4 linked regions of the Drosophila melanogaster genome follow. The protein of the gene in region 4 purifies or fractionates together with the protein of the main gene of each other region. This does not show direct contact. Each region holds a gene or a part of one and is shown on either strand. Other genes may lie near its edges.

Region 1 (4,993 bases), on a different chromosome or scaffold from region 4:
TTCGGTCTACGGCGTTGCCACTTGGTTCGCGCATAACAGCACCACTGTAATTAATTCACCACGAACGTAAAAGCGCGGGGAAAATAGCGTAGGAGGGTGTCTTGCAGCCGCCTGCTACCCTTTTGTTTACCACTTATTTTAATTTGTCTATTTCTAATCAAATCAATCAAACTTTAATATCAATATTAAATATATTAGAGGACTTCGCTAAATCATTGTCACGTAACTATTTGTAAGCTTTTGTGCAATTTACGGACAAATTCTTGTGCTCAAGAGTATAAAATATATATATTTTATATATTTATTAATCACGAAAGTGTTTACATTTTTACAATATATTAGACTTATAATAGTCTATATAATAGACTTAAAAACAAAATTCTGTTATTACTATCTGAATAGATAACTACTGTTGTCAAGCATGATTTTGTTAGACAATTGTAGAAGCTATATACTTCTCATATCGATATTAATGGGTATGCCACCCGAGCACGTGTGCGTGCTGTTATGGTACAGAACTACTTCATGCGCTGGGATTAACAGCACTCATTGCGCATAACAGCACGCTGTTAGTTTTAACAGGCGACAGAGGTGCCCAAACAAACTCAACATTTTTGCATGCGCATACACACAAGCATGCATGTATGTATGTATGCGTTTGTTTGTATGTATGCCTTTCTCTCGCCATGTTACAAAAAGCAAGAAGTTTTTGGCAACGACAATGAATGAAAAATTGAAATGGCGAATTGCAAATGCGAATTGCGCTTACCTGCGTCGCTGCCTGGCCTTCCTTTCGCGACAGTGGCGAGCGAAATGCCCCCGTCCGCCGCACTCGTAGCACTTATCGTCCCCACGACCACCGCCGCCTCGGTCGCGTCCTCCGAGTCCTCCACCACCACCGCCTCCACCACCTCCGCCACCACCACCGCCGGACCTAGCATACTTTCCGGTGGACAATTCCACACGGGCTCGGCGCCCGCAAACCGTCCGTCCGTCCAATCCGCGCACCGCATCCGCCGCATCGCGGGCACTCTCAAACTCCACGAAGGCGAAGCCCGGCGGATTGCGGGCTATCCAGACGCTGCGCAAACTGCCGTACGCTCCAAATACATACTCCAGGTCGTTCTTCCGGGCATTGTTGCCCAGATCGCCCACGTACACCTTTCTATCGCTCGGATGGCGCGACATTTCTGTTTATTTCGCTTTTCCCCGGGCCCAAATTAATGTGGCAGCAGCGCAGAAAAAAATCGATGATGGGTTGGAATCACTTGCCACCGCCTTCCTGGGCACTTTGGTCGGTCAATCGCGCACTGGCGAACACTTTTAGTCACTTAACACGGTCGGCAGATGCGAATTTTTGTGTTTATTTTCTATTTAATGCAGCGCAAAACTCATTTTACCGGGTAGCAAACAGAGTGACCGTGGACAGACCATTAAAAGAAACTGCGGACTCGCTAAAAATATACCAAAAGTTATGCTCAATCCGCGGGTAACGGTCAGCAAAAGGCGGGAGTGTCTGGCAACAATAACTTCCAGGGCCGAAAAATGAAAATCTAAATATTTCCTTTTCAACTCCTACGAAAAAAATACTCAAAATTATTTTTTCCTTTCAAAACATTCCATCCGCCTAAAGAAAGCGACTATAAAACCTTTTTTAGTATAGTACATACAAATCATATACACACATCTTATTACATTTTTCACCTTTAAGATATTATTGTACTGCACAATTACATTTTAATGTAAATAATTTATAATACATTTTTTTAACCAGTCCCCTTTAACTTCCTTTATATTTAGCCTTCGTGTTAAAAGATAGATATAAATTCGTAATTTAAATTTGTTTTCTAGTATCTGTTAGATTCAGAATATATGTGGAGTATGTTTTAGTATATTCCGTGCAACTTGAGGTATTTTTTTTGGCTGGCGGCGGTCACACAGCATTAAACGTGGCGGCGATTTATCATATAAGTTAGGTTATAATATCGTATGCATCAAAATCATACAATTATTTATAAGCTAGTTTTTTAAGGAAAAAACACTTAAATTTAGTGAATTTGCAGTGCGAAATCTTTAAAAAACCACAGACGAACACTTGGCACAAACGGTAAGAACGAAAAGCGACCGAAAATCGCATTTACATAACAATTACAGTGCTTTAACAAAATGCCTGCCTAGCCTTTCCTTTCCAAAAAAAACGCCTGAATACTTGACGCAGCTGCCATTGCTCGGTGTGCGCGTGTGTTTGTGTGTGGGGTAAAATTGGCTCGATTCGTTCGAATCGTTTCTTCGCCTTTTCGGATTTCTCGACAAACAGAGGTTTGTGCAATTTTCAGCGATTTTTCGTGCCACTTTCGGCACTCTATTTCCACCCATCAAAGTGGAAAATTTCATATTTTTATACATACATACGAAAAAATGCTATGTATAACACCACACCAACGATCACGCACACCATTGCACAGCGCTCGGCGGCCATTCGCGCACACACACGCTCTCACGCGCACACACGTACGGCCAACTCATGCACTCACACACGCCAGCAGATTGCGGTGCAAAATACAAAAATCGTGCGAAATTCGTAAAATTGCGTATTAGAAATCTTGGTTAATTTCGCTCCTATTTCTCCGGCCCGAAAGCCCAAGTGTCAAAAGTGTACCCGGCGTGAAAGTGCATTCGTGAATTAGTGAGTGCCCCATCGATTAAACCGCCTGGCTGGCCAAACAAAACGAAAAGCGTAAAAATACAGTGAAATGCGTTTGTTCCCTTTTCTAAGAACTGAGACCCAAGACATTTCTTGAGACTTCTTTGTTGTATCATTTTTCATAAGGCACGTCTTCCATTTTGTTTTTTTTTCTTCGTTGCCTTTGCCGTGGTGAATTTCCCACACACTGCCAGTGCGATTCATTCAGTTCAGTCGTGAGTACTCAGCCAGCAACAACAATAAAACATTAATCGTTTAAAGCTGGAGGAAAACTCGAAAAAGAATTGTTTGTTTTTTCTTTCGATGGAATTAACATTTATTTTGAGGGCATTGGTTTTTGGTACGTTTGCTTTTCGCTTTCCATTCGCGTTCACGTCACACATGGCGTTGCCACATGTTTTTTCACTTGTTAATGGGCAAAATGTCTGCGAAGTGCTGCCAGTAAAGAAAACGGGATTTTCTTGATAACAAAGTGAATTTAAACCCGTTGTTCATTGGCGTTTGCACAAAAATTTAAATATACTCCTGTAGATGTTTACTTGGCCCACATCTGGCTGTAATCTGTAATACCCTGGCAAATGGCGCGCAAATGTGGTGAACCGGCGACAGCTCTCTTTTCACCTTGGAAATACATAAGTTCGTTGTTCTCATTGATAGGCGGCATGTGTGCTGGTGTGTGAGTGAGGCTGGGGATTTGTTACAACAACAACAACAACAACCATTCCGCTCGTGACACAGCGAAAAGAAAACAATACTTTCACGTAGCCGTTCAAAAACGAGTGAAAGGGGATGAGAGTAGTGTTGGGGTGTCGAAGGAGGAGCAAACTTGTGAACGTGTACAAAAAGCAGTTAGACGACAAACACACATACACGTGTACGGCGGAATCTCTTCAGCTGCGTGTGTTTGTGTGTATGTGTACCGGCCGGTTGCTTCTGCCGCTTTTTTCTCTTTTTTTTTTTTGTTCCTACCTGTGCCTTTCATAATAACTATGCGTGAATTTTTTGTCATCTGACCATTTCTACCCATTCGCACCAAAGATCTTTACACAGCAAGAAATATTGTCTCCGAAGGAAATGTAAATTTAAAAAAATTTCAACCATAGCCCTGGCCTTTAATTTTAATAACGTCAGTTTGCAAATAACCAAATTAACTATTCCACCTTGTTTTTTCCTGTGTAGCAATTCGATTAACCGGATTTCTTATATTCTATGTGTATCTTTCCATGTGCCTGCAACAAAAACAAACCGACGACATCGATATTGTTACGATAGAAAGTTACGTGTGAACGTCGTGGCTTTTGTTTAATTGTTTTGAAGGAAAAAAGAACTTTGGCAACGTTGAAACCAACCTAAGATATTGCCCAAAAAGTAAGATATTGCCCAAAAGTAATTGCGGATTTTTCATATAGTCGGCGTTGACAAATTTTTTCAACGGCTTGTAACTCTGTAATTGCATTCTTTCTTTGGTCAGTTATCAGCTGTTACTTTTAGCTTCCATTAGAAAAAAAAGTGCGCGAAATTTTGTTTTTATTTGTTTGTTTGGCGTCAATTTTAATATGGAGCCCACAAAGGAGCATTTTCGTCATATCTTACTTTATTATTTCCGTAAAGGAAAAAACGCGGAGAAGGTTGCTAGAAAGTTACGAGAGATACGATGGTATGGTGATGAAGCCTTAAAAGGAAGACAGTGTCAAAATTGGTTTCGCAAATTCCGTTCTGGAGATTTTTCACTTAGAGATGAGCCACGTTCAGGCCAAATGAAGTTGATGATGACCAAATCAAAGCATTATTATTTATCGAATTAGATCGTCATGTAACTTGAGCGTGAGATAGGAGAGAAGTTAAATATACCAAAAATCAACCGTTCATTATAAAAAGTCTTGGACTGGTGAAAAAGCTTGATATTTGGGTACCACATGTATTGAAAGAAATTCATTTAACACACCGAATCAACGCTTGTGATAAGCACCTTAAACGCAATGAATTCGATCCGTTTCACTTCAATGGCTGATATCCACCAAAAGAAGGTTATGCTGTCTGTTTGGTGGTATTGGAAGGGTGTCGTATATTTTTAGCTGCTTCCAAGGAACCAAACGATTAATTCGGATGTTCGCCAGAAAGATGGCAAAAGATTATCGAACAATATATTTGATTAAAGTTCATTCGAAGTTTTATTAAAAATGCATTTACTTTCATTTACAAAATCCGCAATTACTTTTTGGACAACCCATACATAAAATACATACAAACATAAATACATAAAAAAAAACACAAAAAAAAAATACCAGC
Region 2 (4,928 bases), on a different chromosome or scaffold from region 4:
TGGAGATGTTGCTGCCGCTGTTGCTGTTGATGTTGCCGTGGTGATAGGCAGCCCCAGCCGCAGCGACGGCGCCGGCTTGGTTCGACGACGTCTGTTGCTGCTGCTGCTGCTGAGCGTGGAGATGGTGATGATTCAGACTGCAAAACGGAGGATAGAGCAAGCAAATTGGTTAATCGATGGCCACAAGTAAGAGCTCCTGGGGCGGATGCGCTGGCTTCTGCGGTTATATCAGCAAACAATGCACACCAAGAGGATTATAGAGGCCATCGAGACAAAAGTGTACATCGACTGGCGCACGGGAAAAACAAAAACACCAACGAGAGAGGTCCTAGAAGCTTCGTGGCCCCCCCCAACCCTCTGCCGTATGTTGTTGTTCCTGCGGAATAGCAGACAACAGCGACCACGCCGAACAATGGACAAAATCCTAACAAAGCACAAAAGCCGCATTCTCTTACGCATCGTGTCATTTTTCGCCAACTGTCAGTTTCAATTGAGACGCACCTACTGCGACACCCTGCTCCTGCAACCGCTCCCTACCTTTCCTTTCCCAATGATCGAGGGTAGGAGAGCACTCTAGCGACCTTTACCTACAGCCTCGTACATTTCACAAGACAAGGAAATATTTTTGGCAATTTATAATCGCTAAATCAGTACGGAAACAAGCCTTCAAATTAACATTGATATGGGCAATTTGTGATTAGGATCAGTTGATATGCGATAAAAATGTCCTGCGTAAGGGAAAGGTAATTAATTGAATGCTCTTAATGTTTATGGACACTCTTTTTTGAAAACAAGTCTGAGCAATGTGATAATCCATATTTCAGGCTAATACAAATCTGTAGTAATATCTGAAGTTTATTCCTTTCGTACCTTTCACTTGCAAGTTATATGGTTAAGAGGATTTGATTTCATTTGCAAAATCTCATCTCTTATCTTTACGAGTTCTTTAATTTATTGTCTTGCGAACTTATTAGATCCCGCTTCAGTTTCTATAACTTTAATCTTCTTGCATATTTCACCTCTCACTTGGCACTGATGAAAGTCTATCATGATCGTTAAAAGATCGTACGCAAATGTACGTTAGAATCAGCGAACGTCGGTAATAAATTCATGTGCGACCCGATCCGACCGGCAGGCAAAACGCAACTGAATGCGGAACTGGATGAGCAGTTTGCAGAGAGTTTGGCGAAACATATGATCGTAGACAATACGAGGAGCCTGAACTACTGGAGGCCGAGCCGAAGGATACTCGCGAACGTCAAGGATAATTGCAGCGCAGTCGGCAGGGCAAACCCGTTATCATCGAGCGGAAGTCATGCTGAGCGCGAAAGAACAAAGAGCCACTGAAATTATAATTTATGAGTTGAGAAAATGGGATGATGAGTCTCACACCAATTGTCAGTGACAGGAATTAACATAATTGCCGCAACGCATAAAGCTCAGACAAGCTGGCGTTTCGAGTCGATGTGGAATCTCTCTAGGATCCAACCAAGCCAGGGAGATACATTTTCCTCACCTGAGATTCACACTGAGTCCATGAGATCCAACCAGTGGCTAGTGGTACATTATTGCCTAAACAATTTATACTGAGATCTCGATCTAGATTAGGAAACTCTATAAGATGTTATCCCATATTAATAACACACCTATCTAAAAGTTCCTTCCTGTACATAGATAGATGGGAATTCTTCTAGACTTGGAAAACCTATTTAACCCATGTTACCCCTTCTTGTTTACATGGAGTTTCGATTGAATGAAGGGGATGATAACCATTTCCGAAAACAAACTGAACCAACAAGGCGTACCATCTTGTTTAACTCCAAACATAGTTAGAACTGCTAAATTGGAACCGAACTCCAAAAGGTATCACAATTTAATAAACTGATACTACTCTTATTTGACTGAAGGATGAAGCATTATCTGGTTTAATTGTTATTCCTGATAGCGTCAACGACATAGATGGCTTACCGTGCGTGGAGGTCGCGATGTGGAGGCTGCTGGGGCGGCGGTGGCGGCTGCTGTTGCTGCTGAAGACTGGGGCCCAGGTGCTGCTCCATGCCGGGATGCAGATGCATGTGGGCATGGCTGTGGCTGTGATGGTGCGCAGCTCGGATGTGGGGCGCTGGCCGGGCGGCATGAACGTTGTGCTGCATTTTCTTGAGCTGTAACCTTTAGGACTCCCGTATGAACCAGCGACCGCAGCTGCAAGGAGGAAAAGGAACATGGATGAGACGGACACAAACAATGTTTTCCCTGTCCGCACAAAGGGCCCTGGAGGTGTTTCTTTGTGCGGCGATTGTGCGTAAACAAGTTGCAACTGCATGCGGGGCATATAAATGCGAAATGCAAATGGACATGGTGCACACGTATCTACCTATATACATACATACATATGTGTGTGCATACATATATGCGTATATATATATATATATACATAGAAATGCAACTGAAGCGACGACATCGGCCTAAATCAAATTGTGACAGGCGGCGGGTAGAAGGGTTCAAATCGACTGATTCGTTGCCGATGCCAAGCAACCACTCCTGGTTGCACTTTTCTGGTTCTTACGGCCCTCCGGTTGCCTTATGCCTCTGTGTGTTCTTGGTGAAATCGGATAAAATGCAGCTGCAGTGCGCAATTCAGGTTTCGTGCATTCCGTGCAGGGGTTCAAGGACCCAGACCCAAACCAAGACCAAGAACAAGACCTAGACCCAGATCCACACATCCATGGATTCTGTTCCCTTCCCTTCCATTCCGTTCCGTAACCCCATTCCGATTCCCAGTCCGCATCCGAAACGAGAGTGGCATAACGATCTGCAGACGCAACTCACCTTCTTGCGCTCCCAAAACGATTTTCGTACGCAATGGTCACGGGAAAATCACAACAACTGAATGCAAATACTCCGTTCGATCGATGGACACATGCACATCCATTCATGCGGGCTGGCCTCGATCGTTTGCGCAACTTAAAAAACACTTTAGAACTACTTTAACACTTAAATTAAATTGATAAACCTATTTTGCACTGTGGCTGCGGATGAAACTCGAAAAATAATGGCTTTTAGGCGAGCGGGAAGCGGGGTGGTTGCGTACGGCGGTGTTGGAAAGCGCGCGCGCAGAAGCGCCAGGGCTGCACAATAGTCGATCTGGTATTTTATGCCTATCGAAATTGATAACTTTAAAAAGGGCATAAATATTAATTCGAAATTATTTAAATCTGTAATTACGAAATATTTAACTAACAGGCTTATTGATTGAATTACAAACAACAAACAACAGCATGCGTTTTCCTGTTCAAGTGTATTTTAGTATTTGTTGGACAGAAAGCCAGCGTTTTTAGGCGCCAATGCTTAAGGTCACACTGCAAAATAATATTAAAAATAAAAACATATTTTTAAGAATTTTATCATCAGACAAACAAAAACTGAAAAACAGTGGCTATTTAAAGAACGCCCTATTACTTTTATTTTTGGGATGAACCCGGGGATGCCCCCAAGGTTGCTAGATCATGAAAATGATGACGCCACCAATTCGCTTCGATTGTTTTGATAATATTTTGGCTGTGACTCATTCGCCGGCTGGCCGATGTTTTCACTTTTGTTGTGGCCCCGAATGGCATTTAAGGCATTCCGGTGTAGACAGCAGACCAGAGAGCAAGCACACGCAGTTCCGCGATTACGCAGCACACCCACAATTACTCAGTTCAGTCCGTCAATATGTTCGATTTCAATTTGGAATTTGCGCGTGGAGGTGCCCGTTTCACCAGCGAACTTTTTCAGCTTTTGAGCGCTGGCGGGCTCAAGGAGAACGTCGTCTTCTCGCCCTTCTCCATCCAAACTTGCATTGCCCTGGCCTTTGCCGGATCGCAGGGTGAAACCGCCGACGAGATCGCCAAGGCACTGCACTTCGTCTCCAACTTTCCGCCGGAGGTGGCCCAAACGTTCCAGTTTGTGCTGGAGAAGTACCGCAACAGTAACCTGCTGCGCGTTGCCAACAAGCTGTACGTGCAGGAGGGCAAGCAGCTGAAGCCCGCCTACCAGTCGGCCATCAAGGAGCAGTATCATTCGGAGGCGGAGTCCATTAACTTTGCGCTCAACGATGCCGCCGCCCAGGCCATCAATGCCTGGGTGAATGCCAAGACTCAGGGCAAGATTACGGAGCTGGTCAGCGCGGACTCGTTCTCGGACAACACCAGGCTGGTCCTGCTCAATGCCCTCCACTTCAAGGGCAGCTGGGCGCACAAGTTCAGCGAGGAGCGCACCGAGGAGGATATCTTCTGGGTGGGCGAGGAGGAGCAGGTTAAAATCAACTACATGAACCAGAAGGCCAAGTTCAACTATGGCTTCTTCGAAGATCTGGGCTGCACTGCCCTGGAGATGCCCTACCAGGACTCTGACCTCTCCATGTTCGTGCTGCTGCCGCAGGAGCGGACAGGTATTTACGCCCTAGCCGAGAAGCTCAAGACTGTGAACCTGGTGGATTTGGCCGACAAGTTGACCGTGGAAGAGGTCCATGTCAAGTTCCCCAAGTTTAAGGTGGACTACTCCCTGGAATTGGCCGAGAAACTGAAGCAGGTACATATTATTTTTTTTTTTTGGGGGTGGGGGGGGTTGATTGTTCCACCCAATTTATGCCACAATTAAGCTCCATTTGGGGTCAGCTTTTGTTTTTATATAACACAGTTCCTTGACCTCCATTTGATGTTGCGTGCTTAAGGTGAAGTTTGGAGTTATTAATAGCAGTAGCTCAATAAATTTCTCCATAAAATCCAGAATTCAATTTTATGGACACGTTGCAGTGCTGCAAACCGCCCACAAAAATATTTATTGCCCACTTATCTCTAAAATTCCGTCTATTGATGTACATATGTATTATTTTTAGTAGCTTATCGACGGTAGGGTAGAAATGTCTTAGATAACCAAAATGAGCT
Region 3 (5,049 bases), 7.1 Mb from region 4:
AGGAAAAGGTTTATCTGGGAAAATCAGGCACGAAAAATAGGTTGTGTTTGATGCGCGAGGCAAATACTTTCTTAATTTACTTTAAATTTTTTCTTCTCTTACTGATTTTCGTATTGGCTGCAAAAGAATTTGATGACTGGGCAAGAATACAAAACGAATAAAAAAAACTCACCAAATTTGAAGTGAAAAATTGCTTTAGTTACTGTATTGCAATCAAAGAATTGATCGGATAGTGTCAAAATACTTGCAAACTCGGAATGAGCGAAAGAGTTCGAGGAGCGAGCGAGCGATCGATCGAGAGACACAAAACGAGCGAAAGATATAGATATATAGTATATATAAGATATGCAAGAGTGAATTATTAAGTTTTTGTTTTGGGTATGCTTAAGAGTCTTTGTCTGTACAAATAACAATTAACAATTAGTCTTTATTCAATAGGATGAGAGAAAAGAATGCAAAGGTTTTTATGCTGGATTGTGGTTAGTTTTACTTTCTTTATTTGGCTGTTTATTTTATTTTATATTTTTTTTTTTTTATAAAAAGGAATGTTGAAAAAATATGCAGACACTTATAGTTTACTATGATGTGTACGTTACTCATTGATTTCTGGACTTTTTGGAAAGATATCTCATCGTTCTCGGCGGATTCCCGGCAAATTTGGAACAGTCTCATCACACGGCGGCGGAATTTCGATTGCAATTTAGTGATTTGTGCTTCTTTTTTGTGGCAATTCGTTACGTTACATTCGTTCATTGTGTTTCTTTCTTCGGGCGATATATAATGTATAGTTTTTGAGCTTCATAAAACAAAACGAAAAAACTGCGAGTCTCTTTTTCACTCGGTCTCTCTCTGTCTCCGATTACTTGGTACTTTTTTGTTTTTCTTTTTTTTTTAGGTAATTTACAAGTTATACGTTAAGAGATACAATACAATATATACTCGTATACAGTTTACATATGGATCCAATTTTAAATCGAGATTATTTCTTGATAATTTTGTGTGTTGATAGTTCTATATATTGGCTGACTGACTGATTGTTTGTTTGTTTTAGTTTTGGATAGATAAATACCATCAGCATCAGTATCGGCGGAGCGGAGACTTTTGGAGACTGGAGTGTGGAGAGGGTTGCATATCCTCCAAGTATAAGTCCGCCGAATCCGAATCCGAATCCGTAACCGTTTGCCGGGGGCAGGAATACGAATCCAAATCCATATCCGAATCCATATCCGTCTTGAGCATAGCTTAAAACCCTGACCTGGGGCATTTCACTTCTCTCAAAACCTGCCGGAGAGGAACAAGGTTAGTTCGCTCACAAGACAACAGGATAAGCTATGATTTTCGATTTAATTTCTCCATTTCGTCCTTCTTCCTTTACGGGGAATAATCTGCATCTGCTTCGTCAGCGCTGGTTTCGTATTATCGTTTAAATGTACAGTATCGTGTGACTTAAGATTAAACTTAGATATAAAATGATCATAAAGGATGGGCAAATGAAGTGTACGCTAGACCTAAAAACCAAAACGCAGGGGAGCAAACAAGAGGACCATTCTACTTGATCATCATTATCTCTATGCTTTAATCCATCAAAATTATTTATCATTTATAATTTACATTAATTGTTCGTTAAATTAATATTTTGGCGCCTTGGCAACTCCAAACAACGCCGGCTGTCGCTCTCTGAGAGTAAGAGCGCGCAAAAGAGGTGGCGAGCGAGCGAAGCCGGCAAGCAAGAGAATAAGTGAAAACTGCAAAACACGCACACACCTACAGAACAGCGGGCGTTAGGTTGGTATGTATGCCTGTATGCAGCCGCCATTTTGGGTACAAAACTGGAAGAGCACAAAATAACAACGAAATAGCCGAAACAAAGAGTAATGCGAATTAAAAAGAATACACTGACAAATACAAACATAACTTTTTCCAACGTTTTTTTTCGCCACATTTTTTGCAAGTGAAAGGCAACCGTATGATTTGTGTTCGTATGCGTCACAGTGTGTCTGTGGGGCAACGTGGGAAACAAACATAACCTCACAAAGGGGAGAAAATGTGCTCCTAGCTTAAGAAAACTCTGGTTTTCATTGCGGAAAGTGCGTGTGTGTGCAGGGGAAAACGTTGAAAATTTTCCATGTCTCCCGAGACTGTGATGATGCATTTTGGCCCGAAGATTCTATTAATATGACTGAAGTACAGTCGCACCGACACCTCACACACACACACTTAAACACACTCCGACGCACGAGCGCAAGCGAGAGAGAACACAAAAGGGGTCAGACTTCCCCCGCAGAACCCCGTAAAATCCAATGAAACTCGACCAACGACGTTAGCTTTGCATTTACGTAACAGAGTAGGCAATATACACTATGTAGAAGCAGAAAATCTATGGGGGGCACATGATCATCGGTTGCCCGTTGCAAAAATAAAAAAGAACAAAAAAAAAACGTATCCGCCGGATAATGGACATACCTGTCGTCGTCCCGCTGGCCGGATGCGGCCGATTGGTTGTCCGAACTGCCGTTGGTCGAGCCGGCGGCGCCCGCATCACCATTTTCAGATCCCGGACCGTCGGCAGTCACGTCCTTGGTGAAATCCTCGCCGTTTATTTCTGTATCCACTTGCTTGTTCTCGGCCATTTTGTGTGTTTTCGACTGATCTACTAATTTCGGGGGCTAGGCAGCACGATATTCGTTTTTTACGCAGAGCCGGAGATTTTTATACACACTCGCCAAAAAGTCGCGCGTACGAATGAAATGACGACCGGAAAATGATAAATGCAAACGACAGCGTGTGTATATGGGTGCGGCGTTGCCACCTTGATGTTTTCCCAGTCAAGTCGATTTGGTATTATTTTGGTAAATATTTGTATTGTATTTGCTTGCTCTACCTGGAGATTGTTAGCTATACATTTGCCAAGGATTAAATTGGGATTTTCTGTACGATACCACCCCAAATAAGCCTATATAAGGAGCTAAATGGGCGCGTGACTTGTCTGCTTGCAGTATGGCAGCTTTGATTTATACAATGTACACACACCTATGAAGAGAAAATGAAAAGAATACCAAAAATTTTATACAAATATTTTAAAGCCCAGTTTACACAATGGACAAGTTACTTGGTTTATAAATTCATTTTAGTTGTATTAAAGGTTTAAATATTTAAATAAATATTAAGTATTTCATAAACATTTATAATTTTATAAATATAAAAAATACAATGTTCATTATTTACTATGTGTTGGGAACGAAAACAACATTTACATACAAAGAATTGTTTAAAATCGAATTTTCATATTAACTTCTTATAGGCTGAAACATCAACAATATTTTAAATCATTTAATTGGTTTATATTAAATATTTTTATTTTTTGCAAAAATTTATACAATTTTCATATTCGGATTTCCCAACAGGTTATAATATAACGTTATTATGGTTTTTATTTATTTGCTATATAAAATGTTTCCTTTAAAGAAAGGTGTTTCATGAGCTTACTCAAAAAATCGGAAATGGCTAAAATGAAAATAAGTTTTATAAAACTATTTAAAAGAAACTTAGCGCCCCTAAAATGAGCTTAATTGAGCTCAAATATGAAAATATCAAATTCATCAAAATATTCTATGGAACATACTAGATTAACCACCCCAAAAAAAGAAGTGTGTGCACACCCTTGGAAAAGCCGCCATCATTCACACACCAACACACGCGAAACCAAGAATAAAACTGTGCAGAGGCAAAAAAGAGGAAAAGAGGAACGAACGTCGGTTCTCTTCTCGATTCAACACACTTGTCCAATTTCATTGCGTTTGCGATTATTTTCTACTCAAAAGCCACAACATATGCATCGTAACTTAATTCAACAACAACTGTGATCGCCAAACATCAGAAAGCAACAAAAAATACACGTCAAGAATTGCCAAGTTAGTTATTCTCAAAAAAAAAGACAAAAAGAATTGCAACAAACTAGACTAGTGTGTGTGTGTGAGCGAGTGAGTGCATTGGTGTGTGTGGCTGTGTGTTTTGTGTGCAGCTTGCAATTTTATACTGCATTTCATACGTTTCGACTATCGTTTTGTAAATTAAAAAAACCGCATAATTTCAGCGCTCCACTAAGAAATCCAACTCTCCCCGCCCCCCGCAGGAAGATAACAAAGAAAAGTGCTACAAAAAGTGCCGATTTTTCGGCAAACTTCAACCCAAAAGCAATACACACTGTGCATTACAAAAAGGAAAAATAAAAACGAGGAAAAATATCGCTTAAAAAAGGTGAGCCGGCGACGGCCTCGTGTGCGCGGTCTAGAAAAACTAGCATTTTCCATTTTCAAAGGGGTGGCGCATACTAGGAAAAAATCAACATAAAAAATGCTAAATGGGCGTATATTTTATTATTGCGGCAGGGCTCTATCTCTTAAATTTTTTTTTTTACCATTTTAGCGGCTTTTTTTATTATCGCTTGTGCATAACCTAAAAATGTACGAAAAATTTTGTTTTTGTACATTTTTGTTTAAATGCTGCTCTTCAACTATAGCTTTCTTTGTTCTTCCTACACACGCGGTTCGCAAGCAGAAATAGAGTGGGAAAGAGAGAACCCGAAAGAGCGGCGCGTTCATAACCGAATATGTGTGCGTGTGGGTTTGCCGCAACTCATTGTGCATTTTTTGTTTTATCGGCAAATGTTTATGGCTAAAATGGGGCAAAGGACACCTGCAAACATTGATATTTACTTACACCTTTTAACGCTATTTCAAGTGTTTTTGCAAGGCAGCAATTTGATATTTTGGCCAAGCTGGAGTTCATTGTATGCGGCGCCACAACCTTGAGACCCGAACATAACCTCAATTTAATTCATGCTCCTCGCTTGGCGGCTTCTTTTTTTTCTTTGCCAAATTGTATGAGGTCATTTACTCGCGCACACACACACACGTGCAAAGTTCAGTCAGCCAGGATCGCAGGCATAAAAGCTGGAGCACGTGCAGGGTTAAATGTCCTGCGACGGCAAGCAAATTGGAATTTTTCCTGACAGCTGCACTACACCAAATTTCCCCTTTTCGCATGTGC
Region 4 (4,653 bases):
ATAGTTCGAATTCTTAATAGCAAAGGCAGAGAGGTAAAGTAAGCATACGTTAAAAACTAAATGGAATTGCAGAATTTCTCATGGTCGGATCTAAAAGCGCCAAATCGGTTGTGATCAAATCGGTAATTTTTCGCTCTTGCTGTGGAGAATTTCAAATATTTGAATTTTGCTTTGGCCGCATAACTGTTCCTACTTCATCCGATGTGTTATAACACGATAGTAAATATGTGGATACAATACGTTAAATATGTATATATATAGGATATTTGTATAGGTCTTAAGAGTTAGCAATACGTAAAAACATTGAAGCGGGGATCAAACTGATTTGGTGGTCAGGGTCGGATGGGGTGGGGTTTTCATTGGGGAGACTGGGTTTTCAGGTGGGCTGGGCTGGGCTGGACTGGTGGTTGGTGGTATGGATGATCTGTGGTTGGCTTAAATACCTGTCGCACTGCATTGACGGCCGCTTCGCGATTTGTGAATGTGACAAATGCATAACCACGATTTGTGCCCGTCATCGGGTCCATCATGAGTCGTAGGTCCCAGATTATGCCGCAGTTCTCGAATAGCGGAATCAGTTCGTCCTCGTACATGTCCTTGGGTATCTTGCCGCAGAAAACCTCGCAACCGTTGCCTGGCACATTTCCCTCCCAATGCGGCGGCGGTCCGCCGTATTTACGCTGACCTGAGTACGGTATAAGTAATAGTATTAGATAAAAGTTTCTCCAGTACTTGAAAATGTTTCTCACCTGTCGTCACATCTAATGTGTAGCCGGTGCGCTCGAGGATTTTCTTGATCTTGTCCTCGTCGGGACCTTTGACAGTTGCGGGCGCGGCCACGCCCTGTTGGCTGGCTCGACTCTTCTGTCGGTACGTCTTCATCACGCCGCATAGGTAGGCGGACTTGTTTGACACGTGCTCCAGGTTCGATTCCAGGAACTGTCCCAACACATTCAAGGCACCATCGACGGGAAACTCCTTGAGCGCGTCCAGGGCGCGCTCGTCCAGCTCGGCGTGAGCCAACTTGCCGGTTTTGTAGATCTCATCCAGTTTGCCGGCGACCTAGGAGCATATGTTGCATGTGGCAAATGTTGGTAATAGTTGGCATGTGGTGTTGGGTTCTCAAAGCACTCACCTTCTTGTCCAGACCGTATTCCAGCAGCTTGGGATAATCCTCTGTACGCTCGCCATCGCCACGGTCATCGGCTTTCTGGTTAATGTCATCCAACAGTTCGCCATTACCTTCCGCCATTTCTGCAAGTGCAACGATAATAAAATGTTATAAATATATATTGAGTATTTATACATAAATATTAATATTCTTGAAACATACATTCAAGTGAGCACCCACAAATTGTGCGACCTATAAAATCACCTTGTAGAGTTCAACGAACGCAAAATAGCCACAAACGGCGAGCGCTTGGTAAAAAATGGGTCGCGAGAATGTGCGAAATACGAGAAATACGAAAAATTGGCAACTTACGCACCGTCGCACGCACTCGCGGAATGAGATAAACGGGGAGTGCGATAAAGCAGGGAGCATGGGAGAGAGAGGAGACAACAAAGCGAGCAACAAAGTTCATTGACTCCAAACAAATGCGAAACGCACAAATTTGCGATCCAGAAGAGCGCGCATCCGAGCACCGAAAAGTGCGTGAGAAAGGCAAGAGAAGGAGAAAGGCAAACGAGAAGAGAAAGAGGGAGCCGCATGAAAACGTATTGGCCAAAATGTAAACAAACGAAAAGAGGCGCGATTTGCGAATTGTGCGTGACGTGTTGCGTATACGCGATGTGTTCGGCCACGCTCACAAGAGCGTGACGTATTAGTTGCCCTGGTAACAGCTGATGAATCTAGTGGGTTCACTTTTTGCCGTGTTTGAAGCTACTGGACTTTAGACTTGGATTAGTATTAGTAGTTTTATTGACTAAAAGTAGTAGTATACGTGATTTGCTATGTTAAATCAGCCTAATACATTTATTTATGATCTGTTCCGTGGCTAAATTCAGTTGAGCTGCGGAAACAAGAGCTGTTCGCTTTCGTTGCAATTGCAGCCGCAGCTGCACACAGGCATTTATCATAAATGAATATTTATGGCACACTCATAATGAAAATGCAAATGTTCCACAGTTGTCAAGTGGCAAACGCTCACCTATACAGGCCGCAGCATAGAAAGCTACCTTAGCAGCCACACTATCAGCAAATGCTATTTTGATTCGCGTGTACACGTATATTCGTATGTATATTATATATATGTACGATGTGTATGTACATACATACATATAGAAAGTTGTGTGTGTTTGACGTTCAAACAAAAACGAAGCAAGCTGCAAAAATAAAAACGAGGGACCCCAACTAGCCGAGAGCGATAATTGCGTAACATGTGCAAAAAAAAAAAAACAAAAACAAAAAAAAACAGCAGCAATATCAGCTAGCTCTATCGTTCAAGAATGGGAGAGCCAAACCAGCGATAGAGCGCGACCCACAAAAATTATGGGCAAACCCGAACATTTCTAAAATCTTTTCTGTTTGTTGCTGCTCTCTCCACTGGCATTCTGCGAATTTCGCATTAATTCTCCGGCATTCGATTCGTTTTCGCTGACATTGAAATACTTTGCGATTGATATCGGGGGCAATTGGGTGTTTTGCAGCGGCGTGGAATACTCACTGCTGCAACTGGGAATTGGGCTGGGGGTCCTGAATGAAGACGGTGTTTTGAGGATCGTGCGGCTCAGAGCCTCGCCGCCCCCTTCATCCTTCTGCACTTTGGAGGCTTCCATCTGGGAAAGCATCGCGTAATGCAACAATTTAACAATTTTCAATTTCCTTAGGCGACTTGGAATTTCGATTGCAAATGTGAATGAATTTGTTTTCGCTTTTTCTTATTTTTGAAGTAAAAATCAATAGTTCCGAAACGATTCGAGAGACGAGAAAAATTTTCACAACTGAATAGAAACAAAAAACATTACGGAATAACTTTTGACAATCGCCCAGCAGGGCCAACTACGCATCGATATTTAGAAAGGGTTACCGAACCGAACCCACTTTGTTGAGGTGGCAATCCTGAAAATGGTGTGGTGCAAGTATTAAGACCACAAATTTATGACAACTGCAGTGGGGCCATCAGAATGCCATGTGCGCTATGACAACTATAACAATAAGCGGAACCAGTCAACCAGTAACAACAAAAACATATCCCATTATCTAGGCCCCTCCAACACATAAATACTATGTATTTATATGCATGTATGTATATCTAGATTGTTGGGCGCGAAAACGCAGCGAGCTGTAAGTGAAAAGTGTTGGCGACAACCGCAGGGAAGCCCACAAAAGGGCAAACACCGGGGGAGCGTCATGAAGTTGCGCTGGCGATGCGAGAAAGGCGGGAAAATCAGGAAAAGCGCTTTATCGGCGCACAGCGAGTAAATGAATAATAAACACATGGGCAATGGATATTGAGCCAGTCGAAAGGAGTAGACAACAATGCAGGAAATTCCATTAGGATTGCAGTGAAATATCGATAAAATGGTATTCCTTATACGCTGAGTTGCCATGCTAATGCTTCTATGGCATATGGAAGTGCATACTGAACAAAAAAAAAAACAGGATGACTGGCCACATACCACAGCCAATTTAAGTCTTTATTCTTGGGTCTCCCGAACTCAAAGCTATTCAGGTGACGGCTCCTGGCCTAAAACCGCTTTCAATTTGCAACACTTGCCGGACTGTGTGTGTGCTTTTTTTTTCCAGCCCGAGTCATCATTTTTTATGCATGTTTGTTATGGCAACAGGGTAGTCGCCGCTTGTTTGCCCCAGCGGTGGCAACTCTGTCCCATGCATATACTCGTACAGAAAAAATAGAAGCACGGCTAAAATGGGGGAAAAACAAAGAAACGTTTGCATGTTAAAGAACATTCCTTTTTGCATGCTCGTTTTGTTTGCCAGAGCCGCTTGGCAACTACCTCAATAAATTTGATGTTGATGCCGGCGATATGCGCAAACATACACAGCCAGCCATACATACACACATGCATATCCTGGCATATCCTGCCTTCTTGCACTTGTGTCGGTTAGTTACACCCTCGGTTGTATAAAAAAAAAAAAAAAAAAAACAGAAAAAGTCACCCTCTAGCTGCTAGCAGGGGTGATTCGCCCCGGATTCCACCTCTCCCCCGCCATTCCGGACTCGGATTCGGATTCGGCCTCCTTTGCCAAGAGATAATGCCTGGTGTAAGGTTAGTAAATCAGCGATATGACAAATCGCCGCAAACGCAGGCGGAGCACTTAATGCGGCGCTTTTTCAATGGGAGACAAAGGAGAATCAAAAATTGCTGATAAAGCCAAATAAATCGTTTTGCCACATTTGTTCGTCACTCGCGTCCGTCTGCCAGACAATACGTCGCCGCCGGCAGCAGTCTGGTCTAGAATTACAAGATCTCCCCAATGGCAAATTGGCAACTCCGCCCCTGTTTCTGTCAACCGAAGCCAGACTGACTGTAGACTGCAGAAACTATGAGTATCTTTAGGATGGTGGCGGCTGGCTATAGTCCAGGGGTTGCTCGCCGTGGCATTGAGGAAGTGTTAAAGTTTGTGCTTTCGCAATTTGAATTTCAAGAAGCCCTAGCCATTTAAATGTTATTGCCATGGACAACGGC

Evidence for each region.
Region 1: the proteins of Syp (region 4) and Hrb27C purify together in Drosophila melanogaster (affinity purification with western blotting, with the first as the bait; one study listed by BioGRID). This does not show direct contact.
Region 2: the proteins of Syp (region 4) and stau purify together in Drosophila melanogaster (affinity purification with western blotting; one study listed by BioGRID). This does not show direct contact.
Region 3: the proteins of Syp (region 4) and sqd purify together in Drosophila melanogaster (affinity purification with western blotting, with the first as the bait; one study listed by BioGRID). This does not show direct contact.

What each region holds. Positions count from the first base shown.
Region 1 is NT_033779.5:6,918,755-6,923,747, forward strand, and holds the start of Hrb27C (heterogeneous nuclear ribonucleoprotein at 27C), read left to right. Parts: upstream 1-1,949; 5' UTR 1,950-2,107; intron 2,108-2,211; exon of another isoform or gene 2,212-2,319; intron 2,320-2,505; exon of another isoform or gene 2,506-2,686; intron 2,687-2,884; exon of another isoform or gene 2,885-3,044; intron 3,045-3,976; exon of another isoform or gene 3,977-3,980; 5' UTR 3,981-4,072; intron 4,073-4,993. Other genes in the region: x16 splicing factor, read right to left, coding at 770-1,188. UniProt on the Drosophila melanogaster protein: This protein is a component of ribonucleosomes. Could be needed to organize a concentration gradient of a dorsalizing morphogen (Dm) originating in the germinal vesicle.
Region 2 is NT_033778.4:18,122,726-18,127,653, forward strand, and holds the start of stau (staufen), read right to left. Parts: upstream 3,055-4,928; 5' UTR 2,830-3,054; intron 2,203-2,829; 5' UTR 2,154-2,202; coding exon 1,969-2,153; intron 1,149-1,968; exon of another isoform or gene 1,020-1,148; intron 138-1,019; coding exon 1-137. Other genes in the region: Spn55B (serpin 55B), read left to right, coding at 3,715-4,572. UniProt on the Drosophila melanogaster protein: RNA-binding protein which forms ribonucleoprotein complexes (RNPs) that play critical roles in the localization, translational repression and turnover of RNAs during embryogenesis, neurotransmission and neurogenesis.
Region 3 is NT_033777.3:13,643,290-13,648,338, forward strand, and holds the start of sqd (squid), read right to left. Parts: upstream 3,016-5,049; 5' UTR 2,631-3,015; coding exon 2,464-2,630; intron 1,282-2,463; exon of another isoform or gene 1,070-1,281; intron 1-1,069. UniProt on the Drosophila melanogaster protein: Component of ribonucleosomes. Could be needed to organize a concentration gradient of a dorsalizing morphogen (Dm) originating in the germinal vesicle. At least one of the isoforms is essential in somatic tissues.
Region 4 is NT_033777.3:20,788,346-20,792,998, reverse strand, and holds the start of Syp (syncrip), read right to left. Parts: upstream 3,014-4,653; 5' UTR 2,791-3,013; coding exon 2,667-2,790; intron 1,255-2,666; coding exon 1,136-1,254; intron 1,063-1,135; coding exon 750-1,062; intron 686-749; coding exon 444-685; intron 1-443.